Linked DNA regions of Arabidopsis thaliana. The protein of the gene in region 1 interacts with the protein of each later gene in a pairwise test. Each region holds a gene or a part of one and is shown in the gene's direction. Other genes may lie near its edges.

Evidence for each region.
Region 2: the proteins of CYCH;1 (region 1) and CDKD1;3 interact in a two-hybrid assay, tested with the Arabidopsis thaliana proteins (2 studies listed by BioGRID, with this or other methods).
Region 3: the proteins of CYCH;1 (region 1) and CAK4 interact in a two-hybrid assay, tested with the Arabidopsis thaliana proteins (2 studies listed by BioGRID, with this or other methods).

Annotation. Positions count from the first base shown.
Region 1 is NC_003076.8:9,765,467-9,777,348, forward strand, and holds CYCH;1 (cyclin H;1), read left to right. Parts: upstream 1-5,836; 5' UTR 5,837-6,295; coding exon 6,296-6,355; intron 6,356-6,571; coding exon 6,572-6,622; intron 6,623-6,698; coding exon 6,699-6,777; intron 6,778-6,873; coding exon 6,874-6,986; intron 6,987-7,093; coding exon 7,094-7,167; intron 7,168-7,349; coding exon 7,350-7,470; intron 7,471-7,578; coding exon 7,579-7,647; intron 7,648-7,916; coding exon 7,917-7,958; intron 7,959-8,141; coding exon 8,142-8,219; intron 8,220-8,570; coding exon 8,571-8,629; intron 8,630-8,767; coding exon 8,768-8,852; coding exon of another isoform or gene 8,853-8,918; exon of another isoform or gene 8,919-8,937; coding exon 8,938-9,213; coding exon of another isoform or gene 9,214-9,218; 3' UTR 9,219-9,409; downstream 9,410-11,882. Other genes in the region: ALY1 (protein ALWAYS EARLY 1), read left to right, coding at 1-78, 311-485, 658-866, 950-1,214, 1,349-1,593, 1,685-1,747, 1,929-2,243, 2,317-2,495 and 6 more; ACBP5 (acyl-CoA binding protein 5), read left to right, coding at 10,635-10,796, 11,041-11,111, 11,480-11,543, 11,631-11,702, 11,821-11,882. UniProt on the Arabidopsis thaliana protein: Associates with CDK-2 and CDK-3 and activates the CDK kinases.
Region 2 is NC_003070.9:6,205,451-6,216,217, reverse strand, and holds CDKD1;3 (cyclin-dependent kinase D1;3), read left to right. Parts: upstream 1-6,689; 5' UTR 6,690-6,918; coding exon 6,919-7,017; intron 7,018-7,162; coding exon 7,163-7,461; intron 7,462-7,547; coding exon 7,548-7,656; intron 7,657-7,756; exon of another isoform or gene 7,757-8,072; intron 8,073-8,085; coding exon 8,086-8,211; intron 8,212-8,364; coding exon 8,365-8,600; intron 8,601-8,679; coding exon 8,680-8,937; intron 8,938-9,041; coding exon 9,042-9,090; 3' UTR 9,091-9,347; downstream 9,348-10,767. Other genes in the region: AT1G18070 (Translation elongation factor EF1A/initiation factor IF2gamma family protein), read left to right, coding at 85-239, 327-391, 475-625, 841-979, 1,065-1,200, 1,324-1,388, 1,469-1,633, 1,768-1,840 and 1 more; AT1G18060 (microbial collagenase), read left to right, coding at 2,904-3,050, 3,386-3,568, 3,674-3,733, 3,863-4,153; AT1G18050 (SWAP/surp RNA-binding domain protein), read left to right, coding at 4,630-4,952, 5,663-5,733, 5,976-6,256; AT1G18030 (Protein phosphatase 2C family protein), read right to left, coding at 9,540-9,650, 9,851-9,898, 10,004-10,093, 10,286-10,369, 10,455-10,616, 10,731-10,767.
Region 3 is NC_003070.9:24,889,791-24,900,660, forward strand, and holds CAK4 (CDK-activating kinase 4), read left to right. Parts: upstream 1-4,732; 5' UTR 4,733-4,984; coding exon 4,985-5,086; intron 5,087-5,172; coding exon 5,173-5,471; intron 5,472-5,546; coding exon 5,547-5,655; intron 5,656-6,537; coding exon 6,538-6,663; intron 6,664-6,738; coding exon 6,739-6,974; intron 6,975-7,050; coding exon 7,051-7,225; 3' UTR 7,226-7,469; downstream 7,470-10,870. Other genes in the region: LIG6 (DNA LIGASE 6), read left to right, coding at 1-61, 237-344, 562-611, 704-738, 844-905, 1,013-1,174, 1,254-1,342, 1,474-1,573 and 1 more; SGA2 (ASF1 like histone chaperone), read left to right, coding at 2,796-2,904, 3,204-3,319, 3,393-3,758.

The DNA of each region.
Region 1 (11,882 bases):
GCATACTTATCCTTGCCCGAGGGAACTGCTTCTGTAGCTGGCCTTATTGCAATGATGACTGATCACTACAGCGTCATGGTGAGTTGTTTATCTTATTAGAACACCTTTAAAGTTCATGCTAGATGACTTCCTGTGTGAAAACTCAGGTGGAAAGCTGAAGAGTTTAGTAATGTCGATCACATTAGTGAAATTTTAGTTTTATACTTTTTTCTGAAAACAAGGGAGAGATGTGGTTAATTGGTTTGTTCAGATCGTCTGTTTAGTAAAGTTGTGTGGTTCAGTTTCTATATGCTTATAGTAATTTTTGTAGGAGGGGAGCGAAAGTGAAGGAGAAGACCATGATGCTTCTGAGGTAACGAGGAAACATCTGAAGCGCAAACGTCCTCAAGTTCTGCCTAGTGATTTTCGAGAAGAAGTTGTTCCACCACATTCAGTTGCATCAGTAGAAGGATGTCTCTCATTCTTGAAGCAGACACAAGCTTATGGTACAATCATTATTTTCTGCTAAAAACAAATGATTATTCTGCGGTTTTATACGTTTTTTAGTTCACACCCTTTATAGGGTAACCATGTCTCACGAAATTCTGTGTCAGCCTAACAAATTCATGTAAATAAATCTGTTCAAGATCGTGTAATGTGCTACTTTTTTTTATGTAGAAAAAAGGCAACGGGCCACTGGAAAACGTACACCTCGGTTTCTTGTCGCAATTACACATGAGAGGGATGATATAGAAGATTTTAGTCCACCAAATAAAAGAGCCAAGAAACAACTTGATGCCGATGATGATGCATCAAGAAGGGGAGGAGGGTCTCCATACAGAAGAAAAGAACTCAGTGAAATCACACCAACTAGGCTTAGGAAAACGGTATTTATATAGCTCTAGCAATTTAATGTTGTCATGATTGATCAGTGAAAAAAACAATTTCTACCCTTTTTCTCTTTTGCCAGTCACAAGCACAGGAAGCACAATTCAAGCACCCTGATAGTTCCATGTTTGAGAATGGGGTGAGAGATAGATGGCATAAAAAGGGAGCTGCTGATAGAGATGGTGCCTTGTTGATGGATATGGAAGGACTTGTTACCCAAAAGGAAAAAATTGTGAGAGTTGAAGAAGCAGAAGGAAATTATTCTGATGATGATGATGGATTAGGAGCTCTGAAGACATTGGCTGAAATGTCAGCTTCACTGGCTCCGGCTGGTTTGTTGGAATCAGGTTAGCATCAAATGGTTGTGCCACTAAAGATATATATTGTGCGGGTTAATAGAAGACCCATTAATTAATATCTGTTCACCTTTCACATCGAGGTACATCTCTTTATATTTTCTCCTTTATTGTGTTGGATACAGAATCATCTCCACACTGGGAAGAAGAAAGAAAAACTAACAACGTGGATAAGAAATCTAACACTCTGGAAACCGTGTCAACAAGCCATCACAGAGAAAAAGCAAAACAAGCAGGACTAGAAGATAATCTCCTGCATGCAATTTCAGCCCCTGATAAAAGAAAACCGAAGTCTGTGCCGGAATCCGTTGATGGTAATGTTGTTTCCATCGAGGAGCTTCGCACTTCAAGCAGAAAACGTAAACCAAAGGTTTGGTTTACAAGACAGTTTTTCTCTTTAAGTTCTTTGTTATCGTGTCATTCTTCTGTGTATCACATAGCTATATGCAAATTACATTCAGTTTCAGGTGCTAGATGTTGTAGCTCCAAAAGAGTCTACACAGGACAAATCTCTATATACTAAGGTATTCTTTTAAACCTATAGATATGCAAAACCCGCTTCTCTCCTATTTAATCGTACTCTGTGATCTGCGGTTACTCCTTGTAATTTTAGAATCCTTGACAAATTCTTTTGATCAAAGAAGCTTATGCTTTAGTAGTTTTTGTTTGTGCTTTCTCTAATGATTTTTGTTTATTGCATTGCAGGAATCGGCTGAAGTTGATAGTTTGAAGACTCCCGTCAAAGCAAGACGTTCTAGTCAAGGTCCAGCAAAACAGCTGAAAACTGCAAAGACCACGGTAGAATCTTCTTCAGCTAGTGATAAGAAAATAACTGGACCGGATGCAGTAGTGCCAGCTACACAAGTTTCAGCTTCGGGTCCAGAGACTTTGCCACAGAAACCACCAAACAGGCGTAAGATAAGTTTGAAGAAAAGTTTACAAGAAAGAGCTAAATCTTTAGAAACCACTCATGACAAACCACGTAGTTTCAAAAAACTTTCAGAACATGAATTACTACAGGTGAGTCTCTAACTTCATTTTTCTTATACAAATCAAATAAATCTGGTCTCTTATTTGCTTATTCCATTTACAGGAGAAGTTGTCAAATTGTCTGTCATATCCATTGGTACGTCGATGGTGCATATATGAATGGTTCTACAGTGCTATTGACTATCCCTGGTTTGCAAAGATGGAGTTCACTGATTATCTAAATCATGTGGGGCTTGGTCACGCTCCAAGACTTACTCGTGTTGAATGGAGTGTCATTAAAAGGTTTGTTAAAGTTTCTGTGTATGTATGTCGATGGAATTATAAAGATACAAAAGGTTACTCATTCTGTAATTTTTTCAGTTCTCTCGGTAGACCTCGGAGATTGTCTCAGAGATTCCTACAGGATGAGCGGGATAAACTCCAAGAATATCGTGAGTCTGTGAGAAAGCATTATACAGAGCTGCGTGGATGTGCTACGGGAGTGCTTCATACAGATTTGGCCCGTCCTTTATCAGTCGGGAATAGAGTGATTGCCATCCATCCTAAAACACGGGAGATTCGTGATGGCAAGATTCTTACTGTGGATCATAACAAGTGCAACGTTCTCTTTGATGAATTGGGTGTCGAGTTAGTTATGGTAAATCACAAACTATATCAATTCCGTTGATAGTTTGTCCATTTTTTGTATATCTCAGATGATCTAATAAATCCTTTTTTCTGACAGGACATTGACTGCATGCCTTTAAATCCATTGGAATACATGCCAGAGGGTCTAAGGAGGCAAATTGATAAGTGCTTGGCTATATGCAAAGAAGCAAGGCTTAACAGACACCCAAGCTCTGATGCATCTGTTCTGTTCTCTCCTTCTGTGCTTGAAAATGTCAACTTTTCCATGAATCCTCCTCCTGCGAAACAGGTAAACAAAGATTGACGTTTGACTCGTGTGTCAAAGCTTTGATCTTCGTCTTTCTTTCCATACATTTTTTAATCTCTGTGGATAATTCCATAATTCTCTGCAGGATGATATCAGAGAGCCAGTTTTGTATGGTAAAGTAATAGCAACCAACACTACTGATCAATCTATCGTAATCAATAGCAAAGTAACAGGAACAGAAATTCAACGGACTCTGGCACTGCAGCATACTTCCGATGCGCAGGTAACTAAAAAGTCTATGCCTGTGGAAACTTTGTCTTTAGATTGCTCATGTTCGAATAAGTATAGACTTATTTTGTGTACTCTTTTTGCTAATAGTAACAGCTACAGAAATTCTTTTCTCATGATTCTGCTTTCCAGGAAATGGAGCCAGAAATGATTGAAATTGTCATTGAATCAAAGTCAATAGCGCAAGCAATGGTGGATGCAGCTATAAAGGTATTTATAATATATCTAGAGACTTCAGAGTCTTCTAAATACAGAGAAGCCAAATTCATACAACTCTAACATCTTTTGTTTAAATCGTTGTCAACCGTTTTAGGCTGCATCGTCGGGGAAGAACAATGAAGACTCAGAGAATATGGTTCACCAAGCTTTAAGCTCCATTGGCGAACATCAGCCATTAGACAACTCTATAGTGCCTGGTATCAAGCATCAAGAGTATACCAATGGCAGCTTGGATCATCATTCCTTAAACACAGCAGAGCCGATGAGTAACGGTTTCATCTCACAGGAAGGATCAGGAAAAAACAAAACACCAATGCCTTCAGAGCTTATCACCTCTTGTGTTGCATCTTGGCTCATGATGCAGGTAAAGGAAATAATTTTGTCTTGGACTAACGAAAGTGTAATCTAAATCAAGAATACCAAAGTTTTCACTTGATGCGGTTTTGATTAGAACTCTTTGTGTGTTATTTACCTGCAGATGATCTCAAAGAAGCAGTACCCACCAGCAGATGTGGCTCAGCTAATGGATACAGTAGTGAATGACTTGCAGCCACGGTGTCCACAGAATATGCCGATATACAGAGAAATTCAAACTTGTATGGGATTGATCAAGACTCAAATAATGGCTCTTGTAAGAACGTCATGAAACATTTGTGTCCTTTGTAATTAACCTGACATCGAAGATAACACTTGGAGATCAGATTTAATTGTTTGGATTGTAGAGGTTAGTTTAGTTTATAGTTAGTTAATAATTTGAACAGCTCCAAAGGCTGTTGATAATTAGTTACCATTGATTCTGTAACTTTTTTTTGTCATCATTCATTGTAACTTTGGTTACCTTTTACTTTGGAGCTGTTTTTTTTTTCTTTCTTTCTCAGTGATTATTTTCTTGGGTCATTTTGGATCCTAATGGCTGAAATAATTTATTCCCACCTTAATACAAAATCTCAAATATATACTATTCCTTAACTAAAATTCTAGAACAATGCCAAATGGATATGTTTGAAATACCTTTAATAACAACTAGGATTTAACCTGTGGTGTACCACGGACAAATGTTTTATTCATATATAATAATATTAAATTTTACGGTTTTTAATTTAGTATTTAAGTTTTATAATTTTATATTAATGTTATAACTAAAACAAATGGTGATGATAAAATAATAAAATAAATATTTAACATGTGCTATATCAATCCAAACTCGTCCCACTATATTTCATATCAATCCAAACCCGTCCCGCTATATTTCTCATCTCATGATATTTTTTTATAAGTTTAAATAATAATAATGTTTTATAAAGTTAAAATATATCTATAATATTTAAAAATAATAATTATTTTTTACTTAAGTTGGAAAGATTTTTGGAAACGTTTGTTGAGCGCAATATAAAGTATTTAAATTTTCAAATCTGAATAATTAATACCAATTATATATCTTGAAAGATCTTTGGCAACTATTGTTGAATATAATATCTTGTATTTAATTATCGACAGGAAATATTTAATGTCAATGGCATGACATTGTAAATACAAGTACAAAATTTATTTGCTAAAATGGCTGCAAAAATGTATATGTAGATTTACTTCTAATTTTAATGTTTCAAAGGACAAAACTAGGCATGACCATAAAATCCGAAGCCCGAAAAACCTAGTTCGCTTTGGTTCGAGTGGATCTAAAGTGTTTATTTTGGGGTTTTGGTTTGGTTCGTGTAGGATCTGAAACCTGAACAGATACCTGAAATATCGAAACTCAAACGGATACATGTAACTCGAAATAATACGTATACATAATTTGTCGGTAAATTCAGGTTCAATATCAGGTTTCAATTAAATTTGAGAACCAGCCCGAACCCGAATAGACCTCAACCGATATTTTCAGTTCCTAAATGTATTTTCAATCTCTTTACCAAAGTAACCCAAAAACCCAATCTAAACAGACCCGAAAATCCGAATGTCCAGACCTAACTAAAATCGTGAGTCAAACTCAAAAAATGATTGATTAACACTATATTATACTTTTACTTAGATTCTATAAATTGGACACATGTATGGGTGTTATTAAGGGTTGGAAACATAAATTTAAGCCATGACCTTATTTTTGGTTGGAAAATTCTTGTTCTTTTTTTTGTTAGTAAAGGGCTGTTAATAAGGGTTTTAATGGGTTAGCGAACGACACCGTTTATAATAAATATGTTTGCTAAACGACATCGTTTGACCTTAGGGTTTATTGTTTAACATGAAAGAACGTCGTTTCACCAACGTTTCTTCTTCCTCGCAAGTCTCAAAGCCAGGAACGATCTCGCCGTATGAGCAACTTCCGACATTAACACTGTATTGCTCTGCCGTACTCTCCTCTTTTTCCCTTCATACTCGTCTTCACATCTGAATTCCGACAAGATATTGCGTCTGCTCTCCTCTCTTCCCTCATTCTCGTCTTCTCATTACCAAAAACATCTTCTTCTCGTAGCTAACTCAATCCAATTCCAATCTCCATTCAAATCGAGCACCAGATAATTTTTTCTCCTAAATTCTAATATAAGCCCTAAAATTCAAAATTGAAATATCTATAGAATCTCCTTCCGATTCAGACGGATAATCGCCATCAACAGCGTGTGAATTCGATCAAAAATCTGAACTTTCCACAAAGAAATTCGAAAGCTCAGATTTTTCGATTTCGAAAATTTTGAAAACTCAGTTAATGGCGGATTTTCAGACATCAACACAACGGGCCAAGTGGATTTTCACTCCCCAGAAACTGGTAATCCCCTTCTCCTTCTGATCACTACAATGCGGCTTTATAATTATATTTTGTTCATCTTTGGATTTTCTTTGCTTTGATTGCTTCATAGAGAGTCGGATTAATCGAGCATTTGGAACTCTTTGTTACTTAGTTATGTGTGTTGTTGTTGTTATTATCTTACTTGTTGTGTAGAGATATTGGTATTGCAACTAAGCTGTAATGTTGTAATTGTAGGCAGAGAGATATAAAGCTGCTAACCAGAGGGCAGTGCAAATGCTGGAGAAGGTTTGTTAGAATAATTGTTGATATGGAGCTTTAGTCCTGTATTCATGTTTAGATTTTAACTTATTGTTATTCATAGTGTGGAACAACTCAAGTTGAAGTAGATGCTAGTGGATCACTAACATATCCTAAAGATAAAGTTGGTTCAGGAGATCAAGGTAAAAATTTTGGTTCCTTCAATATCTACTTCATACGTATCATAGTTTTGTTTGTCGAAGTTTAAATAATGTTACTTTTTGCTTTGTTACTCTCAGCTGATAAGAAGCTTAAGCCTTTGAGTGCTGATGAAGAAAGGTTCATGAGAGCATTTTATGAGGCAAAGGTCCAAGAAGTGTGCAGTGCCTTTGCATTTCCTCACAAGATTCAGGTGCATTTCTACTCGTCGAGATAGAAGTTTATGATGAAGTTAAAAATAAAATACCTGATTTTTGTTTGCTCTCTGAATTTATGTTTCTTCCTTCTAATATTTTGCAGGCAACAGCCCTCCAATACTTTAAGAGATTTTATCTGCAATGGTCTGTTATGCAACATCATCCAAAAGAGATAATGTATAGTTCTTTTAAATCCTCAAAATGGTCAAAAGCTTTGCTTTTTTCAAGAGAATAGTTTTGAAATTGTTTACCAAATGGAGCTAAGCATTTTGTATTTCTGAGCTCTGAGAGGCTTTTTAAGTCAGTCATAAATGGTCCATTGTTGTAATTTGGACTAATTGTTACCTTTCATTGAACAGGTTAACCTGTGTGTATGCAGCTTGTAAAATAGAGGAGAATCATGTATCTGCTGAGGAAATTGGGAAAGGGATTAACCAAGATCACCGAATAATTCTCAAGTACGAGATGGCTGTTCTTCAGGTATGATATGAGTCAATTAATTTGTACCAACTTCCCTATGTTTATTTTTCCCTGGTGTTCTTTTCTCTCTCTATTCTTTTGTTCATATTATATTAACTCTATGTGCAGAGTTTGGAATTTGATCTGATTGTTTATGCACCGTATCGTGCAATCGAAGGTTTTGTCAACAACATGGAGGTAAATCAGTCCTGTCTAAATTTCTTAGTAGGTTTTCTTATTTCAACTGGCTTTTCTCTGTTTACATCTTATAGTGATGAGACTCTTTTTCAGTTTATTGGCAATTGTTTTGTTGCAAACAAAATTCTGAATGTTAACTTAACGCCAAGAACTTGGTGAACCATAATAGGATATACCAAGATTTTCAATACTTTTTTCGGTGTGTTATTTTTCATCCTTGTTGAACTTCACGCTATCTTCAAAAGTAACCTCATCTTTTCATCCTATAGGAATTTCTTCAAGCTAGAGATGATGAAATCCAAAAACTAGAGGTAGATCTATCTTCAGATATTTCCTTTATCTTCACTAGATTTTAAGCATGTGGTAACTGAATGTGGGATCAAAATGTAAATTTTAGTGTAAGTTTGTGATCATAGCTGTAAGTCTATTTACTTAACAGGCTTTATTGAAATATTATTTTCTCATACTGGCATAACTTTTCAAGTATTCTGCAGAGTTTGCTCAAAGGGGCGACAGCAGAAGCCGATAAAGTTATGCTCACAGATGCTCCACTCCTCTTTCCTCCTGGCCAGGTGGGCATGCTAGTTTATTTTGTCTCCCTAGCCTCTTATTATCAGATTAAAGATACTGAATAATATCCATCAAAGAATCTGGTTAAACTCATTGTTTGGGATATTTCAGTAAAGCTTTAAATATGCTACTCAAGACATAAATTTAGGATGAAAGTTGGTGCTTTGTTTTCTCTTTGACTGATATTTAAGTGAAATTAATGAATGTTTATGATATAGTAGTATAGCTTATCGATATATACTCACCTTGTTCCTTCTTTCAGGATTTTTCGTTTTTCTTTAGCGTATATGTAACAAAAGAAGTATCACAAATTGTTGTACTGTCTCTCAACTCTTGAACGTGTGCCCTTGTAGTTGGCATTGGCGTCGTTACGTATTGCAAATGGGGTTCTTGGAGTGATTGACTTTGATAGGTTATTTCTCTTATTCTATATCCATCCCGATTATTTACCCTTTTAATCTTTCCATGATATTAATCTCGTGGTCTTGAATTTCTGTATATGCAAAGCTTTTTACTGGTTGTATTTTCAACTAAACTGCATTTGGTGCAGGTACCTAGAGAACATTGTTTCTCAACCGAACTCTGAGCACACGACTTCAGAGCTTACAAAGTTACTTGATAACATCGAATATTTGGTATTTACTAACTTCCATAATTATCTTAACAATGAAACTTGCATATCTAAAAGGAAGTTTTACTAGATGCTCTCTCTTATCTCAGGTAAAGAACTACAAGTGCCCAAGTGAAAAGGACATGAAGCATATCAACCGGAAGCTAAAATCTTGTCTAGGACATAGTTCTTCACATGACGAGTACACTAACAACCTCTCTTCTACTAATTCTTTTAACCACTATATATATTTCATAAGCTTTGCTTCTGCAATTGACTCCCTTCTCTATTTATCTTCATCAGGAGTAAGAAACGGGAGAAGAGATCAAAACACAAGTCCCATAGGAGCTCCAATGATACACCAAACGGGGCACCGCCACCCATAGGTTGAGTTTCTCGTACTGCCATTAGCAATTCTTCCTTTGCACTTTGGTTTAGTTTTAATCTTATTGAATGAGAAATTCGTCTTTTATAGTTTCTTCCCCGTTGTTGTTCTTACTAGTAAATTTGAGCAGATTATGTATAACAATGATATTGGCCATAAGTTTTGTTTATTCTGAAGATGTTAATGAATTTATAACAAAACTTCCATTTATTTTAAGTTTTGGTGTACATAACAATCGTCAAAAATGGTTTGTTTGCGATAATGATCAACTTTTTACATGATCAAAAGTTTTTCCAGACATTTTGATACTTTCTAGTTACTACCACATCTGTTCTTACACAGAAACAAATGGATATGACTAGTGTAGCGGTAACTATCAAATCCTAATAATAACAATGAAAATTTGTATTAAATAACCAAAAACCATCGAAAATAAAATTTGGATTGTGAATGAAACTTGTAAAGATGCTTGATTGGTTGTGCTAAATGTCTTTTACAGCCATAATATATTTGTTAAAGACTAAATTGTTGCCAATTATGTTATAGTTTTTTTCTTTAACTTAGAGCCCCAAAAAAAATCTTTTTGTTTTGACTGTAAATCTTTAATTTTCTACATCCTATTTTGTGTTGTAGATTTTTTTTTTTTTGTAGATTTTTTTTTTTTTTTCTCTCCTCTAACTTTTTGTCACGATTATTTTCAACTAATAATCTAAAATGTAGTTATATGAATAACAGATAAAGTATTTTATACATTTAGACAAATAATTTATAAATTTATATAGATTCCATTTACCTAGATGTGCAGAATTCTTTTTGTGTTTTTATTATAAAATTGTTATTAAATAATTTATATATATTCCATCTACCTAGATGTGCATAATTCAATTTGTGTTTTTATTTTATAATTGCTATTAAATAATTTTAGTAATTATGATATACAATTTTCTCATTTTGAAAAAAGGTAATTTATAAATATAAAATTCAAATATTTCTTAATCATAATTTTTAGTTACAACTAAAATATTTATTGCCAAAATCCTATATTTTTCAAATCTACAAAACCAAGAGGTTACCGTCAAAATTCTACAGTTAGAGCTTATACACTTATTGCCAATATTATACATAAAATATTTTACCTTATGCAAATGCCTATGCTTTTATGGGTCATAGACGGACCTGGCTACTGTGTAACTAATCACCCACATAATTTATCAGTCAAACATAACAAATTCTTTTTGTGCCAAAAAGTCAAAAACGTTAGAAACTGGATTTTGGAAGTTGATGCATGCAAATAGCAACTTGTCGTGCCGCGCTATATAAACGCTGCATCAAGTTTTCGTAATTAACTAAAACCAAATTAGTATTAATCCGAAAACTTGAAACTGTGGCTTCCTCCTCAAATCTCCGATCAACGGAAACAAAATGGCTCACATGGTGAGAGCGAGCTCTGGCCTTTCTTACCCGGAGAGATTCTACGCCGCCGCATCGTACGTCGGCCTCGACGGATCTCAATCGTCGGTCAAACAACTCAGCTCCAAATTCTCCAACGATACCTCTTTGCTTCTCTACACGTTGCACCAGCAGGTTCGTCAATTCGATTTCAATTGAATTCCATAGGGATCTGTTGATTTCTCTTCTTTCGCAATTTGCTACAGTAGATGTTGGTACGATCTCGCTCCGTACATTAGACAATGGAACTGTGCTTATACTTGGGATCATTGCTATGCGAAAACTGGTTTATTTTGTCACTGAGAGAGAATTTATTCAATCATCTTTGTGATAAAGATGTTTACTAATTTTGAAATCTTCTGCCTTGACATGTTAACAGGCTACTCTAGGACCTTGTAGTATTCCAAAACCGAGTGCGTGGAATCCAGTAGAGCAAAGCAAATGGAAAAGGTTGGTTTCACTTTTGTGTCTGTCAATACTATTCTACATTTGGAGAGGCTTTTAAGTATCATCATCAAATGTGTAAGTAGCTTTTTTGAGTACAAGTATCAAGATGTCTCATGAATTAGGGCTACAGCAACAAGTATCGTAGATTTTAGACTTGTATTTCCATCCTAGGGGAATACATGAAATAGGAGCTACCTTGGTTTTAGCATGCAAGAAAATTACTGGTAACATGTCAGGGAATGTCATCTTAGAGAATGCCATTATGGAAAGACAGATCGAGATCGCAGACCTCATAATGGCATTCTCTAAGATGACTTTCCCTGAGCAAAGTCATCTGTGTAAGCTTCCTAAGAAAAGTACATGTTTACTAGTTGGCAGGGGCTTGGAACCATGCCCTCCATTGAGGCAATGCGTCTATTTGTGAAAATCTTGGAGGTAATATCAACAGAGGAGTTTATTCTCATTTCTCTTCATTTGTTAATCATAGGCTAATTTCTTCCTATATTGCTCACTTTTCAAAAGGAAGCAGATCCTGGTTGGTATCCAAGGACATCTAACTCTGTTCTTGACCCTGCTGTACATGTCCAAATCAATGTGAGTTTTTCATCGCCTATACGTATGATCAAATTTCAGTTTTTGTATGTAAGTATTGCTACTAATTAATATAACAATGCCTCATCCGAGAAGTATCTTACTTTTTTACCTGTTGCAGAGCACAAAGGCTGAGCCTAGTTTTGAGAGTGGAGCTTCATTTGGTGAGACAAAGACGATTAC
Region 2 (10,767 bases), on another chromosome or scaffold:
CTTATAAGTTAATTTGTTTTCTGTTGATTTAGCTTCTCCAGTAGGAAGCTTATTAACTTCCCTACCCACGCCTCTCTGATATAGGTGATTTCAGCTCGAAAAGGTGAATTTGAAACAGGATATGAGAGGGGTGGGCAGACACGTGAACATGTTCAACTTGCCAAAACATTGGGTGTCTCTAAACTGATTGTTGTTGTGAACAAGATGGATGACCCAACTGTGAACTGGTCGAAAGAAAGGTAATTAGAAGACCTTTTGATTCCTTGTCAATGATGATTTTCGTATCTTCTTCTGTACATCCTTGTAATTATGTAAATCCTATGCAGGTACGATGAAATAGAACAAAAAATGGTACCGTTCCTGAAAGCCTCTGGCTACAACACAAAGAAAGGTATGCACTGAACTGTAAACATTGCAGTTTAACTATGGTCAAACAGCATTTTTAATTTCTTCTCTTACTCTTTTGTTGTTAAGATGTTGTCTTCTTGCCTATATCTGGTCTAATGGGCAAAAATATGGACCAGAGGATGGGTCAAGAAATTTGTCCTTGGTGGAGTGGCCCTAGCTTTTTTGAAGTACTTGATTCTATTGAAATTCCGCCACGCGATCCTAATGGTCCATTCAGGTGAACCGCCGCTGCCCACTTTTTGTTTTCTCTCTTTTTATTCCGGTTGTTCTTTGTTATTAATTATTGGTCGTTGCATTTCAGGAAATCAATTACTTGTGTATAATCATGTTTTAAATGGATTAACACATCTCTGTGCATTGTTTTATATATCACATGCAACTTCTACAACTTTGGCATGTCTTTTACTGTAAACCAATCTCTGTATGTTGTAGACTGTTAACCGGAATCGATTTTATGAATTGTAGGATGCCAATTATTGATAAGTTCAAGGACATGGGAACTGTTGTTATGGGAAAAGTAGAATCTGGCAGCATTCGGGAGGGTGATTCCTTGGTTGTTATGCCGAACAAGGTGCTTTCAGATGTTTTTTTCTTTCTCAGTTCATATTTCATTGCCAGTTTATTGTTTTCCTGATGACTTTCATGAATCAATGTAGGAACAAGTGAAAGTTGTTGCTATATATTGCGATGAGGATAAAGTTAAGCGTGCAGGACCGGGTGAGAATTTGAGAGTTCGTATTACTGGCATTGAAGATGAGGACATCCTTTCTGGTTTTGTTTTATCCAGCATTGGTGAGTATAATGCTTTACAGATTGCCTTCACAATAAATGATTTGCATTGCCATTTTTTTTTTTGGCTTAATATCCGAATTCTTAGTCTTCTCTTAGCTGTTTTTTCTTTGTTTTCTGTTGCAGTAAACCCTGTCCCTGCTGTTACCGAGTTTGTTGCCCAACTACAAATCCTTGAGCTGCTTGACAACGTAAGGCACACGTTCTAGAATGTTATTTGTTTGAGTATATACAGTTTTAAATAATCTTCATTATTTTGCTGCTCGTGTAGGCTATTTTTACAGCTGGTTACAAGGCAATTCTCCACATCCATGCGGTTGTCGAGGAGTGTGAGATTATCGAATTGAAAAGCCAAATTGATCTCAAGACAAGGAAACCAATGAAAAAGAAAGTTTTGTTTGTGAAGAATGGTGCTGCTGTTGTGTGCCGCATCCAGGTTTGTCTCCTCCTAACTACCGTTTCCTGTTTCTCTTATACACGTATTCATAGCCAGAAGTTTTAAGTTACTTATATTTATATATTTATATTTCGCAAATTATTATTTCTCAACCCTTGCTGTATCACTTGCAGGTTACGAATTCAATTTGTATTGAAAAATTCTCAGATTTCCCTCAACTTGGAAGATTCACTCTACGAACTGAAGGTAAGAAGAGATTTCAGAGATATCAAATGCAATGCTTAATGCATTTAGTTTTACTCATCCTAATTATCTGAGATACGGTACAGGAAAAACAATTGCTGTTGGAAAGGTTACCGAGCTCTTAAGTTCTGTCTCAAGCGCTTGATCCAAATTTTGTGAGAGAAAAGGTGAGGAGTCTTATGATTTCAATTATTTTTAAGCCACCATATGGAAGAATTAACTTTAGAAAATGGCCAATCTAAACCTGGGTTCTGTTTCTTTGGAAAGCAGGAGACGGCTTTCGGGTTGCACCAGGAGGGAGATTAGGAAAACGCTTCATGAATGATTCGGACTAAGAAATCTGAGTTCCCTAAAACCCAAGTCCTAATACCTGTTTTTTTCAGTGCACAGTTGAGATTTACAAGCTGCGGAGAGGTGTTACCTGAGACCGATTTTCCTTTATATTTCAAAGCTAGAGAGAATTATGATGAACGTGAGTGAGAGTTTACTTTTCTTTCAAATTAAATTAACAGTTAATACGACTACCTCCCTTTTGGCTGGCGAGTATGTTTTTTGGCTATTTGGAGATTGATATTTCATAGTTGAAGAAACTCTATTCGTTCCTTAATACTTGTCAGACAAGTATTGGTTTCTAGCTCATTCTAGCTTTTTGCTTCATACGACAAGTTATTTCGTTGTTTCGGTCAGGTTAATCCATAAATAACCTCGTGCATCCAAGTTCACTCGAAATGGATTGGATTTTGTCTATAGAACATAAGCTGCAATTATGAAACCGAATTGGATCAAGTTAAACACGATGGAAATTTATTGAAATTTTATACTGGCTATAAAACTTTAACATACAACAATTCTTAAAATTGGAAGGATTCGGTCCGAGGACATTGAGGTAAAGGTCGACACAAACAATATACAACTGAAAGCTTTTCTCAACCAAATAAAACTTGTGGATTACAATGAAACGACGAGCTCTAGTGTGTTTTTGTTTTTGGTTTGTCTGAAAAAGTGATGTGGAAGAAAAAACAAGAATGATGAAGAGGGAAAAAAAGTGAGGAGCTTCTCAGAGACGATGATGGTCTCACTAGCTTCATGTGTTTCGTCCCCATCTTCTTCGTCTCTGTTCTTTAGTCGTCGGGAGAGATTACATTTGGTGAAAGCCACGGTGGATGGCAGGAACCAGATTGTCCCACCGGCAAAAGATCAAATCCCTAACAAAGTAAGCAGCACCCTTCTTCATTTCGATTGTGTTTGAAAAGATAGTGTTAGACCGATGAAGAGTCGTTTCATAACGAACTCCTTCAGAGAAATTCAGTTGAGGAGTACAAAGCTTATCCAAGTTACTTTCTGGTCAAATTTATATTTTGGGACTCTTCGCATAAGTGTTATGTGTTTACTTCTAGCTCTAGGAGATAGAATTTCATGGAACCAAGGTGGTTATTAGAGTTTTGGTTGAATCGAATGGAAATTACATGAATTCTAACTAACTTTAAGATTCTGAATATATCTAGGCAACTAGTTTTTACTTGATTGTGAAATGATTTTGAAATGTAGCAAGTAACGGAGAGTGTGAATGTATTAAAAACGGCTGCAAAAACTCGGAAAGTTGCAGCAGATGAGATTTTAGCTGCTTTCTCTGCTATCGAAAAGGCTAAGATTGATCCATCCACTTTCCTTGAAACGCTTGGTGGTCCCGAGTCTCCTGGACGAACATGGATGCTTATCTTCACCGCCGAGGTACCATTAGATATTCAATTAGCCTTTACATGTTTTTATAAATATTGCAGTCTTGATTGATCCATTCAAATCATTGACTTGGGATCTTATATACCATAAATACAGAAGAAACTGACGAAAGGTCGTTATTTCCCTCTAACTGCTGTTCAGAGATTTGATGCTGCGGTAAGTCTCTAAACTGGTTCTAGTACTGCTTTAGGGTCTGATTGGTAAAAGTGTTGAGGCACTTTAAAATCCTGAAAGCCGATATTTTGGAAGTAACAAAACAATTCTTGTGCTTGATTTTTCAACCAGGGAAAAAGAATAGAGAATGGGGTGTATCTTGGTCCATTTGGAGCATTAACATTCGAAGGAAGGTTTTCATGGAAGAATCGGATACTAGCTTTTGTCTTCGAACAGATCCGCATAAAGATTGGACCATTAGATCCTCTAGAGTTCAGCTTGGGGAAGAAAGACGCTGTGGAAGAGCCTAGTAATAAAGACCCTTTCTTCATTTGGTTCTACATCGATGAAGAAATAGCCGTTGCTCGAGGTAGAAGTGGCGGTACAGCTTTCTGGTGTCGTTGTCGTCGCATTGCTTCCTAATGACTCTCTTCTACTTCTCAGAAGCTGCCTCTCCTTGTAAATGATATTTGAAGATATTGAGCCTATTTGTAATGTTCGGAAAAAAGGTCTATTTCCCCATGGGAACTATCGCATCTGGCTAGATGAAGCCCGATCTTTGACCTCTTGCTATTTACCCATGAAATGAAAGTTAAACGTCTATTTCCCCACCAATTAAAAGTTCAAGAGCTTAATGTCCCCGAAATAAAACTTCGAGAACTTAATGTCCATGAACTGGATTAAGTCGGTTTACTGTATGCGAAACCGATGACTTAACCAACTAAACCTATTTAGAACCAGAATAAACCTAATTTAAACCAAAATTATGACCCGTAACCCGACTCTCGAACCTAAACAAAAAAATCCCCAAATTCTCTCCCGACGAACCCTAATTTAACCTGACGAATCCTCAAATCCAGTTTTTCCAAACCCTAAAACTTTGATCGATCGATGTCGGGATGTCGTTAATCCATCACGACCCCGATCTTGATGGTGATGTCGATCCCGAAGCTGAAGACAGAGATAACTTTCACCTGGAAGAAATGCTAAACGAGTGGACCGACGAACCACCAATTCGCCACGACGTGTACCCGGAGAGCGATGGTGAAGGAGCCGACGACAGTTCCGACATACATGTGAGGCGTGGTGATGGGTTTTTGTACCAAAAGCAGAGTTTCTTCAGTGGAGTTGCGTTCAAAGAGGCGGTTATAGATTATGCTCTGAGAACTGGACATAATCCAACATCTCTTTGGCACTCCAACCACTCTTCCTCGACCACGAGGTCCTGTAGATCCCGACGAACTTGATGACAGATTGCTCATCTTTCAACTGGAAATAAAAAAATTGGGAATCGATTTAGGGTTCTTGAGTTTTGAGTTTGGGGTTTTAGATTTTGGATTTGGGATTCGACAATGGATCGGGTTTTAAAAACGAATCCGGGTTTTTTTGGTTTGGTTTTGACCGATAATATGGTTTCGTCTCGGGTTTACGTATCAAACCGAAGTAACCACGATTCGGGGACATTAAGCTCTTGAACTTTTAATTGGTGGGGAAATAGACGTTTAACTTTCATTTCATGGGTAAATAGCAAGAGGTCAAAGATCGGGCTTCATCTAGCCAGATGCGATAGTTCCCATGGGGAAATAGACCGTTTTTCCGTAATGTTCTGATGTTAAACAGAATGGTTTTATAACATAACAGTTCATGTATGTATGATTTGGTTCTTACCGGTTAAGTAGATAATGTATGGTGAAAATGGAAAACGACGTCTCTCACAACAAAAAACAACTAAAACCCAAAATCTCGACCCAAAACCGAATTTAACTTCAAATTAAGTAAATATGGCCCGAAGTTATAAGCCCGAATAACAGAGGCCCATTATAAAACCTGGAGCACAAGTTTCTCGTCTATAAGTGCTAGGCTACGCATAGGGCTCCGTGGATTTGTTCTAAGAGGATATTCTCCGTTGATTTGCAATTGTCAATTTCCAAGCTTCAGAACTAGAGTTCGTTCGTTCACGACGTCACTGTGGCTCTCGCGGCGTGGCTGTTACTTTCCGGTGGGTGAGGTACGGTACTTGTTATCTCTCTCCGAAACCCTAAGTAGTCCTTGGATATGTATCTTTGCCTTTTCTTATATTTACGTTTAGGAAGATAATTCGTTTTCTTGGTAGTTTACCCCTTGTATAAATATAGTCATATAGAGCTCAGGGTCAAGTGATAATCAACACATTCAATCGATCTCTTTGCATCTCTTGTCATCAAGGGTTAACTTTATCTATTATTTTGTGTTTCTCTTTGTATAGAAAAGAGATGTCGAGTGATTTGCAATCGAACTCCGGCAGATGTACCTCCGAGGACTAGATATTATGCGGATAGCTCAGCCCGTTTGGTTTTCATGGAGGGGCCTGAGATGGAGAGAAAGATGATGACAAGCTATGCGGGAAACCCAAAGTACTCCTTCTTCTGGAGCTCAGATCGTTATCATGCTTATTACCAGAAAAAGCTTGCTGGATACCGTGCGCAGAATTACATGAGGGACCTGAGATCAAACTTAGTGATTATGGGATACCTGATGTTCCATTGAGGGTGAGGGTAAGGGAACCACCGCTTCAGATTCCAAAACCTCCTCCGGGCTTTGCTAGTGACCAGAAGCCGACAATGAAGTATCCGCCTCCACCACCTCGCAAGTATGCAGCTATACTCCCTGAATGGATTACTGGCAAAGAGCTTGAAACTATCAAGGAAGGGGATATGGACGAGAAACAGCAACGATAGCTCTTAAGAAATCAGCTAAACTCTAGCAAAAACACGTGGATTGCTAATATGCTTTATAGGTTATAGGTTAAATTTGTTGAGGTATAAAACAGTCATTTCAAAAAATCAAAAATTCACGATTAATTTAGCTATTGTTTAAAAGTTTAGATATTAAATAATATTTTTCTCTTTTATAAATCGAAAATGTTTGGATATTAAATGTATAAAAAACTAGAAAAGTAAATAATTGGGCGTTTCTCTTTATTTGTTGTTTCCCTCGATTAGCCGATTGCGTCTGCAAACGCGCCAACGGCTACTTTTTCTCCGGAGCCGGAGCTCTCAAAGCTGAAACCCTAAATTTTCCCGGTATCTTCCTCATCGTCGATTTTACTCAATTTAGAATAAAAATCGGAAAGCAATCGAATTCTAGCGACGTGAATTAAGAAGAAAGAGAGAGGCGCGATTATTGAGTGGGTTCTGAAAAACCCGAAAATGCCGGAGCAGCCAAAGAAAGTTGCTGATAGGTATCTCAAGCAAGAGGTTCTTGGGCAAGGTACCTATGGAGTCGTCTTCAAAGCCACTGATACTAAGGTCATATCTTTGCTGATTTTTGTTTGCAAAATTAGGGTTTAGGATCTGTCGGCAATTCCTAATTTCTCCTTCTTTTTTGGTTCCGGATTTTGATTGAAGTTTTTGTTGGATCAAGGGGAAGTAATTGTGGGGTGTAATTTTGCAGACGGAACAAACTGTAGCAATTAAGAAGATAAGGCTTGGTAAACAAAGAGAAGGTGTAAATATTACAGCTCTCAGAGAAATCAAAATGCTCAAAGAGCTAAAGCATCCTCATATTATTCTGCTCATTGATGCATTTCCTCACAAGGAAAACTTGCATCTTGTCTTTGAGTTCATGGAGACTGACCTCGAAGCAGTTATTCGCGATTCTAACATTTTCCTCTCACCCGCCGACATTAAATCCTACCTCCTAATGACATTTAAAGGACTTGCTTATTGCCACGATAAATGGGTTTTGCACAGGTACATTTGTTTATCCTTAACAACTTGCTTATTGTCTCTGTAATGTTGCTTGGTTTGGGCACTGATTATGTGTGGCTTGAGTTCAGGGATATGAAGCCAAATAACTTGTTAATAGGAGTTGATGGACAGCTTAAGCTTGCAGATTTTGGCTTAGCACGTATATTTGGTAGTCCAAATCGTAAGTTTACCCACCAGGTATGCCTTTTGCCGCATTGCCATTTTATCTATTGCTGTAATATAACCAAATTGATCGACTAACTCATATGAAATATTGATAAGAAAGTTTTAAGTAGTTCTTATCAGTAGTTATGTCTAGGGATGAGGAAGATTAGATGTCTCATGTCTTTTCATTTCTCTAGTTGTATACTAAATGTAACATGTATTAAACAGTCTCAACTCATATTAAATGATGGTGCAGTAGCTATCTCATATCTGTACTAAAAGTTTTGCTGTTAACCGGATTTTTGACCTGAGCTATTTCTGCCTTCTTTGTTTCCCTTTGAACACCCAAAATTACAATAGAATCCATGTGAGCTCTGTTTCCAAATGCGCAATGCAACTTATTTTCTCTTGTTTCTAGTTGTTATATTATCTTCATATCTTGATATATCTGATAATGCACAGGTGTTTGCTAGATGGTACAGAGCACCAGAACTTTTGTTTGGTGCAAAACAATATGGTGCTGCAGTTGATGTTTGGGCCGTTGCCTGCATATTCGCCGAACTTCTACTACGCAGACCATTTCTTCAGGTTAAATAATCTTACTCAAATCTAATGGCTACCATTAAAACTTTAGTCCAATTGTCATCTCTTTGGATGTTATACTCACTCTCAGACTACATAATTACATATTCATTATCAATTTTCTCGGTATGTTTACTTATTCTATTTTTGCCGTTGCAGGGAAACAGTGATATTGATCAATTAAGCAAAATATTTGCTGCTTTTGGGACACCAAAAGCAGATCAGTGGCCGGATTTAACAAAGCTTCCAGATTATGTAGAGTATCAATTTGTCCCTGCACCGTCTCTACGTTCTTTATTCCCAGCAGTTAGTGATGATGCTCTCGACTTGTTGTCCAAAATGTTTACCTATGACCCAAAGGCTAGAATTTCCATTAAGCAGGCTCTAGAACACAGGTGCCTAATGTTCACCATCTGTTTATAGGCAAAGTATATCTAGCGTTCTGCTCTCACACCTTTGTTTTCATTATTTCAGGTACTTCACTTCTGCACCTGCTCCTACTGACCCGGCTAAGCTCCCAAAGCCCGTTCCTAAGCAGGATGGTAAATCATCTTACGGTAAACATGAGGCCATTACAGTGCAATCACCACCACGTAAGCTTAGAAGAGTGATGCCTGAGCGTGGGAGGGTTGATAGTTTGAAGTCTCATGTTGACAAGGATCAACAAGCACCCATGTCATTAGATTTTACCATCCTCGCTGAGCGACCTCCAAACAGGCCAACAATCACCAGGTAAAAAACAAGACAGTTTCTCCCTCACTGCATATTAATCTCATTTGTCATTACAGCCTCAAGATTGATTGTGTTTTAATGACTTCTTCTTGTTCAATTTGTAGTGCTGATAGATCTCATCTGAAGAGGAAACTCGATCTTGAGTTCCAGTAAGACTGTTGGTTATGCACTCTTCTCTTAGCTTCTCCATTTTCATGTTCTGGTGAAACCACACCATTGTTAAGTTGTCAATTTACTGCTGCTTGTGTAATCTGGCGATTTATTCTTTTCCATATTTAGCTTGATTACAAACCAGAGGGACCTTAGATTCACAATGATAATATTTTGTTGTCCCATAGGCTTTTTATTCATTGTAAACTGATCATACTGTACTATGAAGTCTATGATTATAAAGCTTTCTACTTTTTGCTTCTAGAATTCTTTGCGGTACAAAGAGAGCTCTGTTTAATCTTCAAACTCATTTTTCTTTCGATGGTGGCCCCAGGAATTTAATTGATCCATTGACAGCTCAAAAAGATTTTACCAAATACCAACAACAGGTTTATAAAACACATACGAGCCAGAAAAACAGATGCCCACATGTCAGTCAGGCTCTTCTTTAGTCATACCCGCTTGAAGACTATCACGATTGCTGTGCAGTTGTCTTTGCAACGACGTTCTTTCACAGCTTCCTTCACAAGACGGCGACTTACCGTGCTTACATGCAAGCCCTCCTACAAAATCATAGTTCTTAGCCTCTTAGTTTCTCACATTTAATTTCCCTTGACACTCTTTACTTGTGTGCACAAGGTTCTAACAAGCCATTTTGCTCACATGGCTACCGAAAAACATCTGTTTTTTGAGCTTCTTTCTATGTAGTTAAAGAGAGTGTGAAATGGAGGACAAAGTGATTTTGACAACTGTAGGTATTTACCTTCAAAAGTTTCTGGACAAATCCAACAGCATCACTTGGTCCAAACACCTGAAAACGGTTGCATTGTGTATGAGCAGCAAACTTTGATATATAAAGACAAAATGAAATGTTCTTATAGAGCACTGCAAAACCACAAACGAAGAGCTTACTTACTTCCCACAATCCATCGCAACCAAGAATCATGAAGTTTTCTCTCTCAGTTAATTCAAAAGCATGAATGTCTGGAGTTGCACTGACACCAAACTAGATTCAATAACTTGCGTTAGATGCGAATAAACCATAAGATTTTAGGATAAGTTACAGATTCTAGGCATTTGAAGTTGCAAAATGATATGGAGCAAGGTTCAAGAACATGTCGATAGAATATTGCACGCGAGAGCTAAAATGTCACAGATAATGGGCTCAATATAAAGTGGGAAGCCACCGGATCATTACCTTCTTAAAATGACGATCACCAAAAGCCCTAGAAACCTCAAGACGCCCTTGTAACCGTCCATTTGAGCTTATAACACCACCTGACTGTGAAACTCATAGCAAGTTATCAACAGAGCATGGTGTGCTCACATTTACTTGGAAGTCTCTGTCTGGCTCATCAAAAACTAACCTTTTGAATGCGAGAGCGCTCCTGTGGATAAATTGCTTTGTGCTCTCTCGTCAAAACAATTGCTTTGAGTGGATTACCTGCTTCTGTATGATTCCCCAATTCGTTGGTAGTAGAGGATCGTGCCAAAACAGCCTTAGCATCACCGATATTGGCAACAAAAACCTATAAAGCATGAGAGTTTATGGGTGTGAATACTGGAGAAAAGGTCGAGTTATTTTATGAAATTTATCTAGAGAGTAAAAATATTGAATTCCAGAGACCCCATCACAGTCATACCTTTTGATCAAGTATCCAGACACAGACTGCTGTGGCT
Region 3 (10,870 bases), on another chromosome or scaffold:
GGTTGATGTCATAAAACAGTTTTCTTGCCCTGCCGCTGAGACATTCATGTTGGACGCAGAGGTAGGAGAATTTTCATATAATTCACTTTATGCATCTTTATCTATTCAAACCCACATCTAGCTATGCACAGGAAAACGAGGGAAGGGACCTTTTTCCGGTTTTCAAATTCAACCTGTAATTGCTCATCATAAATTCTCTTGGTCATACGTGGTGTATGGTCTTTTTATGGTTTTAGGTGGTTGCCACTGATAGAATAAATGGAAACAAACTCATGTCATTCCAAGAGTTATCAACAAGAGAGAGAGGGAGCAAAGATGCTTTGATAACTACAGAAAGTATTAAGGTATTGAACACAATATCTATACAACCCAATTGAATGTTAGTATGGAAGTTCCACATCGTTTTACAATGAGATTTATTTTTCTCAGTATATTCGACGAAAGTTTTCCTTTTCATCCTATTGTATCCTTTGAATACAAAATTCTTAGTCCATTGTCATTTTTGTAGTTTTCAATATGTTCTTCTAGATGTATTTCTTTTCTTCTAATGGCTTTCTGCAGGTTGAAGTCTGCGTCTTCGTGTTTGATATTATGTTTGTCAATGGAGAACAGTATGAGTCTTTTACTCACTATTTATATTTTCATTTGCATATATCCAAATACTTATATGTTGAGTTGTAATTTACTTAGCGTATCAATGCAGGCTGTTGGCTCTTCCCCTCCGTGAGAGACGAAGACGTGATTCCCATCATTTTCTTTTTTCCTTAACTTGATGCATTCATTTTCTCTACCAGGTTCATATATGTCCACTCTTATCTTACTTGGTTTTGCTTGAACTTACAGGTCTAAAGGAGGTCTTCCCTGAGACTAGGCCAGGTTATCTTGAGTATGCTAAGGAAATAACTGTAAGTGCTACGGTAGTTTCTCACCTAGAAGTTATAGGCTATAGCCTTCTTCTGTATCTAAGTGTTTTGGTATTTTCATTGAACTGATCATTGTTTGATTTTTATAGGTGGGAGCAGAAGAAGCGTCTCTGAATAATCATGACACATTGAGTAGGATAAATGCTTTTCTTGAAGAAGCATTTCAGTCATCTTGTGAAGGAATCATGGTCAAGTCTTTAGATGTAAATGCTGGATACTGCCCCACAAAGCGCTCTGATTCATGGCTCAAGGTCTCTTTGCTGTAAATTATCTTACTAAAACATAATGTGATGGAAATGGATTAAATAATGCTTTTCTTTTCTGGCTCAGGTTAAGCGAGATTATGTAGATGGATTGGGCGATACATTGGATTTAGTTCCTATTGGTGCTTGGTATGGCAATGGGAGAAAAGCAGGATGGTAGTAAAAACATATTTTCCAACTTTCTCTTTTTTTTTTTCTGAAAAGCAGAATTGTAATCATAAGTTTACTGGTAATTTCTCAAATGCATCTTGATGAATTCTGATGTTTTTTATATATTTTGTGTGTAGGTATAGTCCATTCCTTATGGCCTGCTTCAACCCTGAGACTGAAGAATTCCAGAGTGTCTGCCGTGTCATGTCTGGTTTTTCTGATGCCTTTTACATCGAGGTAATGAAAAGCTCAACTCTAACGTTGTTGTTTAATGATGAAACAGATGGGGTAGTAAATACGTTGGGTTTGGTCTATACTTGGACTCCTAATTGTCACGTGAGAACCATTTCAAGCTTGATTCTACTTTCTTATTTTGCTTATCTTGCAGATGAAAGAATTCTACTCGGAGGATAAGATCCTTGCGAAAAAGCCGCCTTACTACAGAACAGGGGAGACACCTGACATGTGGTTTTCCGCAGAGGTAGTTTGGGAAATCAGAGGTGCTGATTTCACAGTCTCGCCTGTTCACAGTGCCAGTTTAGGTCTCGTCCATCCATCGCGAGGCATCTCTGTTAGGTTTCCGAGATTTATCAGTAAAGTGACAGATAGAAATCCTGAAGAATGTAGTACGGCTACAGATATCGCAGAGATGTTTCATGCTCAAACCAGAAAAATGAACATCACTTCTCAACATTAACACGCTTCCTATCTGCTTTTGGTTCGTTTAGACTTTTTTTTTTTTTTTTTTTTTTGCTATCAAGCACTTGCAAAGTTGCAAGGGTGTTTAAATAGGAACCTAACTCACAAAATATTTTTTGTGGTTTTTAATCTGTAGGTAGAATGTGTAAATATTTCTACCTAGAACTATGTGAATATTTAACCCATCTGTATATATTATCTATGTGCGTCACTTTTTCTTTTTTGATGTCGTAAACACAAATGGTAACACTGGTAACAAAATATTGAAAGATAGAAAAAAAAAAAAGTATATAGGATATGATTGGTAATCTCTTATTTGTGTCACTAATCGATTGAATTCTATATTTTTTTCGTATTTATGTGTTGGACACTAAAATTATCAAATATTTAGCAAATTTCCCTGCTGCATTTCGTGAGTTAAAGTATTCCTCCCGCCAATTCAACTTAACCGGTAGTAGCCGGTCACCATTCCAACGACAACCGGTTATAAGAAAGCCATCCCCAAAATTGAAAACATTTTCATCGTCTTCTTAATCAAAAAAAAAAAAAAAAAAAAACTCTGAAGCTTCTTCTTTGATTAATTCTCTCCTGGGGAAAAAAAACCCTAGCTCTTCCTTCTTCTCTCTTCTCTTGAATTATCTGCTTTCGAATTTTTTGAAAAGGGAGAAACTTTTTCATCTGGGTCTCTCTCTCTCCCGAGTTTGGATGAAGTTTATTGAAACCTAGGGTTTTTCTCCGACTTGGTTGTTGATTAGAGATAATGAGTGCAATCAAAATCACCAACGTCGCTGTATTGCATAATCCTGCTCCTTTTGTTAGCCCTTTTCAGTTCGAGATTTCTTACGAGTGTTTGAATTCTCTCAAAGACGGTAAAAATCTCCTCTTTCTCCTTCCCCTGAATTGTAATTCATCTCGACTTTATTTAGGTTTTAGTCTCTGCTGATTCTTATGGATTGTTTTCAACACCAATTTGTTGCTGCTGATTGTAATTGGAACATATTGTTACCTAATTGCTTTGTCAGAGTCATGCTCTAATGGTTTGTTTTCTAATTGATAATCTAGAGTCTTGTTGTCTATTAGTTGGATTTATCTATGCACAAGTTCTTGGTTAACATTGTTATAGGGTGAGGATAACTTAGATAGACCCGTGCTTTTGCTTGTGGTACAGATTTGGAATGGAAGCTTATCTATGTAGGCTCAGCAGAAGATGAGACTTATGATCAACTTCTAGAGAGTGTGCTTGTAGGGCCTGTTAATGTTGGCAACTACCGCTTTGTATTTCAGGTAACATATGCACTACTACCTCTTCCAAGCACCAACAAAGTCTTGGTCTAACTCTCTATTACTACTGTTACAGGCTGATCCTCCGGATCCATCAAAGATTCAGGAGGAAGACATCATCGGTGTTACTGTGCTATTGTTGACATGTTCTTACATGGGTCAAGAGTTCTTGAGAGTTGGATATTACGTGAACAATGATTATGAGGATGAGCAACTCAAGGAAGAGCCTCCAACTAAGGTTTTGATTGATAAAGTTCAGAGGAACATACTTTCCGACAAACCTAGAGTTACTAAATTTCCTATAGATTTTCATCCAGAAGAAGAGCAGACTGCTGCTACTGCCGCTCCTCCTGAACAATCTGATGAACAACAACCTAATGTCAATGGTGAAGCTCAGGTTTTACCTGATCAGTCAGTAGAACCAAAACCTGAGGAATCATGATCCTTATACCAAGTCTAGTTGAAGAAAAGTGGATGAGAATTGAGAACTATTGTCTCCACAGATGTTGCGCTTTGCTTTTCTGTCTTTCAAAAGCATTATATGCTGTTTGTTGTACTTAATTCTAGAGGCTTTAGGGAAGTGATTCTTGACATTTTTGTATGTTTATGTTTTGGGCAAAGGTTTTTTAAATCGAAGCAAAGCCAACAGTTGCCAAACAAGATTCTGAGTTCTGATGGTTGGAATTTGGTAATAGGTGTAGAATAACTTCCCTAGATTTTCTCAAGGTACAAAGCGACATTTGATCTTCATCATTTGTTGAAAAAAGTGCCGTTAAATGGTCATAGTTAGCATTGATGATGATGATTATCATCATCATCAACCATAATTCTTTCACCAAAAAAACATGAGTCCGTGATTTTTTTAGGACCGTTTCACAGTTGTTCTGCCAAAAATATGAGTCCGCATTTATTCACCAAAAAAAAAAAAAAAAAAAAAGTAGTACACATTACAATTTCTCGCCTAACGATTTTACTCTGTGGTAAACCGAAAGATAGTTAAAAACGGCTCCATTTCGATTACTTTGAAAAAAAAAAAATGTTTGTTTTGTTAAAAGAAAATATCTTTTAAAATATTAAAAAATATTTTATTCAAACTTTTATTAATACAGATCTAATTACTAAACTCAATAACATTATAAAAGCCGTGTTCGGCTAAGCCCAGTAAGCCCTATATGTTTTGAATAAATACGATATTTTATAATAAACAGATTGTTGTTTTTAAATACCTAATAATACATAATATATTCCTATACTTGACAATAACGAATAAGAATTATATTACCTATTATTTTGGATTTCGTAAAATTATTTTATATTTTTTTTAGGTAAATGGTAAATTTGTAAAAAATAGCTACTTTGATATTTATATTGTGTATTATTTTCTACTCGATAAGATTAATCATCAATAGTTCGAGGTGGAGGGTTAAATTATCTAGGGTCTGATGATCATGTAGAATCACTTCCTGCAAACAAATCACGAGTGTTAGCATATTTATGCTATCCACAGTATCATATGGCTGTTTCTGATTATTTCATAAATATAAGGTTCGTTTCATAAAACACAAAATCTTACGGGTATAAAATTGAAACCAAAGAATTCAATTTCTTAAAAGTGTTTCACTAGGAGCCCTCGTACTTCCTCGAAGTGTACCGGAGAATCTAAACCCAATGTCGAAATCCGGCGATAATCAACCAGTTGATAGATACCTCCGCCGTCAAATCCTCGGAGAAGGAACATACGGTGTCGTTTACAAAGCCACCGACACAAAGGTAAAATCAAAAACCCTTCCCGATTTCGTTTTCAATTTCATCAAGATTTTCAAACTCAACAATCTTCGATTTTGTGATTTCCTTAGACTGGGAAAACTGTAGCAGTGAAGAAGATAAGATTAGGAAACCAAAAGGAAGGAGTAAATTTCACAGCTTTAAGAGAAATCAAGCTACTAAAAGAGCTGAATCATCCACATATCGTTGAACTCATTGATGCTTTCCCTCACGATGGAAGTTTGCATCTAGTTTTTGAGTATATGCAAACAGATTTAGAAGCAGTGATTCGTGATCGTAATATCTTTTTATCTCCTGGTGATATTAAGTCTTATATGTTGATGACTTTGAAGGGTTTAGCTTATTGTCATAAGAAATGGGTTCTTCACAGGTAAGAAGTTATGCTTAGGTTTATAAAGATTTGATTTTGATTGTGTTGATGGTTTGTTTTTGGTGTGGTTGTTAGGGATATGAAGCCGAATAATTTGTTGATTGGAGAGAATGGTTTGTTGAAGTTGGCTGATTTTGGTTTGGCGAGGTTGTTTGGGAGTCCGAATCGGAGGTTTACTCATCAGGTATTGATGCTATGATTGATACGGTTTTGAGCTTGGTAGCTAGGTTAGTGTAGTTCTTGATGATCTTATTGGATTTATTGGTTAGGTATTTATATAGTTATTGATATTTATGGTTGCATTGGTAGCTAGATTAGTCTGGAGTTTGTAGTAAATATCTTGGTACTTCTTCTTGATGATCTATTTTGAATTTTATGCTCAAAATGAAGAGTCGGTACAGAGTATTGAGAAGATATCATACTTTATGTGTGTTTGGTTTTGGTGAGGTGAAAGATTGTATTGACATTTTTTTACCCTAGAAGATTCTGAGATTGATTAGTTATGAAGAAATCTCTTCTATTTTTTGTTTGAATTGACAGGTAGATTAGTCTTGTTCTTGATGATCTATTGGTTTTTTTTTGCTGGGACAAACTAAGAGTATATATAGTGCATTGAGAAGACATACTATGTTTTTAATTCGAATGCTTGCATACCTATGTTATTGGTTTCGGTTGGTGATTACAAGTTTAAGTTTCCGGATAGCATTTTGTTGATTACGGTCATATTAACATTTTGACTCAAGAAGATTCTGCAATTGATTAGTTCTGTAGAAGTCTCTTTTTGCTGGATATGGAAAAATTGATACAGAGTATTAAGAAGACATCATACGGTTTTAATTTTGATTCTTGCATACCTGTGTTTTTCGATTTTGGTGAGATGAGAGATTGATGGTTCAAAGTCACCAGATACAGTTTTGTTACTTACGGATGTATTAACATTGTTACTTTAGAAAGATTCTGAGATTTATTGGTTGTGTAACTTGTGTAGATATCTCATTTGGTTAGCTATTTGTATCTGCTTGTGGAAGATTCGTTAAGTTTAAATTGGTTATACTTATTCACACAGGTATTTGCTACATGGTACAGAGCGCCTGAGTTACTGTTTGGGAGTCGACAGTATGGAGCAGGAGTTGATGTTTGGGCTGCAGGCTGTATTTTTGCTGAGTTACTACTTCGTAGACCATTTCTTCCGGTAATGCTCTATACCCTTCGTACTTCATGTTTAAAAAGTCTGTAGTTCTCTAAACATTTCCTATACTTTCTTCAGGGTTCTACTGAGATTGATCAACTTGGAAAGATCTTTCAAGCGTTTGGTACTCCAGTACCTTCCCAATGGTCTGACATGATCTATCTCCCAGACTACATGGAATTCTCCTATACACCCGCTCCACCATTACGTACCATTTTCCCTATGGCAAGTGATGACGCTTTGGATCTTCTAGCAAAAATGTTCATCTACGACCCACGTCAAAGGATCACAATACAACAAGCTTTAGACCACAGGTATACTCTTGAAAAAGAAACCCACGGGACAAAAATTCTGTTTCATCACTCTGATTATCATTGGTTTTTTCATCAGGTATTTCTCGTCTTCTCCATCACCAACTGAGCCAGGGAAGCTTCAGATTCCAGCTTCCAAAGGAGACGCACTCGAACCAAAGGCCTCCGAGCAAAACCAACATGGAAATAGCCCAGCGGTACTGTCTCCTCCTGGTAAAATGAGGAGAGTGATGGGTCCTGAAGGATTCACTTGAGAAGATGATGTTTCATTTCTTTTGGAAAATATCAATGGATATGCCCAGAAGATTTCAAAATTAGATTTTTACCATTGATAATTCAATATTAGTTAACTATCAAAGAGAAAAAATTTAAAGCCATAAATGTCCTTCTTAGTTCTTACTTTGTTTAATTTACCAAATATGTCATGTATCAACTATTGTTATAATTTCACTATATATCAACTATCTTACCATATTAATATAAATATTATTCAGATATTTAATATGTTAGCACGTTATATTCAGTATAACATGTTATTATAAAGTTAAATTGATTATTTCATATTAATTTGTATGATATGGTAAATGGTTTAATACGATATATAAAAATTTATCGTGATACTATACTAGTTAACATATTAATCAAATAGTTATATATATTTAGCACGATACTATACTAGTTAACATGTTAATCAAATAGTTATCCACATAAATCATAAATATTTTATGCAATCCAATGATAAATACGACAGTGTCGTAAATTTCGGATGAATAGTGTCTTCAGGCAGTTGATGAACAGTATCATGTCTAAAATATCCGGTAATAAATAGTGTTTTGAGACAATGACATATTTAGTAAATTAAACAAAATGAAAAAGGAAATTTATGATTTTAATTTTTTTCTCTTTCATACTTACCTAATATTAAACTATCTATAATAGATATCTAATTTTCAAGTCTTCCAGGCATATACATTAATATAGCTCTTTCCTTTTTTCCTTTCCTTGACTATAATCACTAATGGAGAGGTATATACAGTAATGACTTTAATTTCTAGAATTGCGTTTCGTAATGCTTTTCTACAAAGTAGTTACCATAAAAAAATATCAAACGAGAAGCCATCTTTTGACCTCATCCATGTCTAATATCTATTGACGTTAAATTCCTTCGAACCTTAAACTGATAAAAAAAAATTATCTTCAATAAACTTAAATTTATGATATAACACTGACCGAAGAAAAAACTAATTTTTCTAAAGAAAACACATTTAATGTTTAATTATAATTGCACTAAATTCTCACTCTAAACATTTTTCCATGACTATGAACCAATAATAATTCAAATATATGTACACGTGAGTGTCTTAATCAGTGGTTGATCATATTCATATTGTCAATTTGTGATTAATATTCATTGGGAAGCAGTGATCTTGTTGTATAGGGACTAGGCTTTCACAATATCTGCAATTTCCACTCCTATTGGCGATCCATACATATTTCATTGGCCCACTAAAAAAATAAATTCCAAAACAATTGGCATTACTACAAATACTTACTCTTTCGGTTTCATAAAGAATGTTTTTCTATAATTTTATATTTGTTCATAAAGACTTCTAAAACTAATCACTTATTAAATATGGACTCATGTATATATATATATTTTTTTTAATTTGTATGAAATGTGTCAAAATGATATTTTTTCAAGCCGATGAAGTACTAAACAATCTCTATTTGGTGCGGTTTGGTTTTTGAAGTTATGATTCTTTTGACTCACTCTTACGATCAGGAACTCACAGTTTGGACTTTGGACATAGACCGTGACCGGCCCATGAGAGACACGAGTTAAACTTTGAATTTAGAAGAAAAGAGTATTAAAAAAATGACCTTTGTGGTTACCCCACTGCAAAACGACCTCACTCAGATGAGGGCTAACAAATTGGAATTGGAGGCAGCAATTATGCCACTTGGCTAAGTAGTTGAGGCAGTGACGCGGCGATATTATCCATGTATATAATGTGTGAAGCCAAAAACGATTGTAACATTTTTCTCTGATCTTAGGTATTAATACGAGAATTCAATTTTTTCCGACAATTTGTTGAAAGCTTTCTCTGTCAACAATAAAATGAACGTGCATTAAATACCAAGGTTGGCTCTATCTAAGAAGCCAATTCGGTTAACCAAAGTATTTCTAGAGGGTTACCTAAATTAACCAAAAGAAATCCGGGTTCGGTTTTGGTTAGTGTAAAACTATTTGTTTTTGTACATTTTCTCATGAAATTGCTTATTAGTACCATATCTCCGTACCAATTTTTTTTTTTATTATTACTTTAAGAGTCTCACTAAGCAATTACCCATGAGATAACATGGTGTACCGCAATAATACAACGTTACCTATGAAACTTCGAGTAGTTAGAAAGTTTTGACAACACCTTTAATTTGATTTGAAGCATGCAATCACCAAATCTCTAGTAACTACTGTTCAAAGGTTGCTTATAGTGTGGCCGAGAGGTATGCCATCATCGACTTCACTATTCTTCGCGGAAACAACTCTTTTGCGATAGATCTCAACTTCACCAATCGGATCTCTTTCATCGATTAGATTGATAAAGTTATTCCATGTCAAAGGAAAAAAACAAAGAGATAGTTGGATTATCAAGATGCATGAAGTATGTGGAGTGCTTTTTTAAACCAAGTGAACGTAAATATGAATTTGTATACATAATACATGTGATTAGAGTTAGTTTAACATAAGTAAAAAAGAAAGTTGAAACTATCAAAATGCTCTGTGTAAGTATTAATTATTTCTTCCAACACACGATGTCAGAAGTCAGAACCGATTATTAATACTTTTCTCAACAACTTCTGTTTCTTTATTTATTTTTGATAACTTCGACGAGGATAAGTAAGAAAATGGCTTCCTCTTTTTCAGTGTGTATAATGCAGTTCTTGACTGGACTACTCTCAATTGGATATCACGGATTGTGAATACATATTCTCGGTTATAACTTTTAACTTTATAAGTTATACTTTTATTTAGTTTCACAATAAGTGTGGTTTAATTCTTACAAGTTTGTATCAAAATAGGTATTGTTTTATATTTTGAATGTAGTTACAGTATTTGGTGAAATTGCAATTCTATTCTTACTATTTTAATGTATTGACCAATAAAAAAAAGTTGTATAATATATTAATAAGAGATAAACAAAAAAAATGTTTTTACTATATGTGAAGAACCTGTAAATGACATTGTGAATACATATATTCTCGGTTATAACTTTTAACTTTATAAGTTATACATTTCTTTCTTTTCACAATAAGTGTCGTTTTAGTGTTAAAATTTTATTTCAAAATAAGTATTGTTATTATTTTTAGTGTAGATATTTGGTAAATATTCAATTTTAATGTATTGACCAATTATAAAAAATTGTATAATATATTAATAAGCGATAGACAAAAAAATCTAATTGTTTTTTTACTATATGTGAAGAACCTGTAAATGACATTTATACTAAAACGTAAAAAGTATGTATGATATATTGAATCAAAAATAATACTAGTAATCAGTAGTTAAGTTACATCTATTTTGTTAACGAAATAGTAAAAAAAAATGTCATTAAGAGACGGATTTATTATTGATATCAAGTAGAGCAAAATTTGTTTGTTTAGAAACACAAACAAAATCTTAACTTTGGCGGTTTAGTCTGACTAATTTCAAATTTATGTTGTGGAGTATATAAAGTCGATAGTACTTTTTAACAATGATTTTGAAAACTAAAACTTTATGTTATTGGAGTATTATCATGGATTGGAGTTTTTGTCAATGAATTAACATGGAGATGTGGATTAGGTTAGGTTCATCGAGATATGTATTTAAAGTTGAAACATGTGTTTTATTATTATTC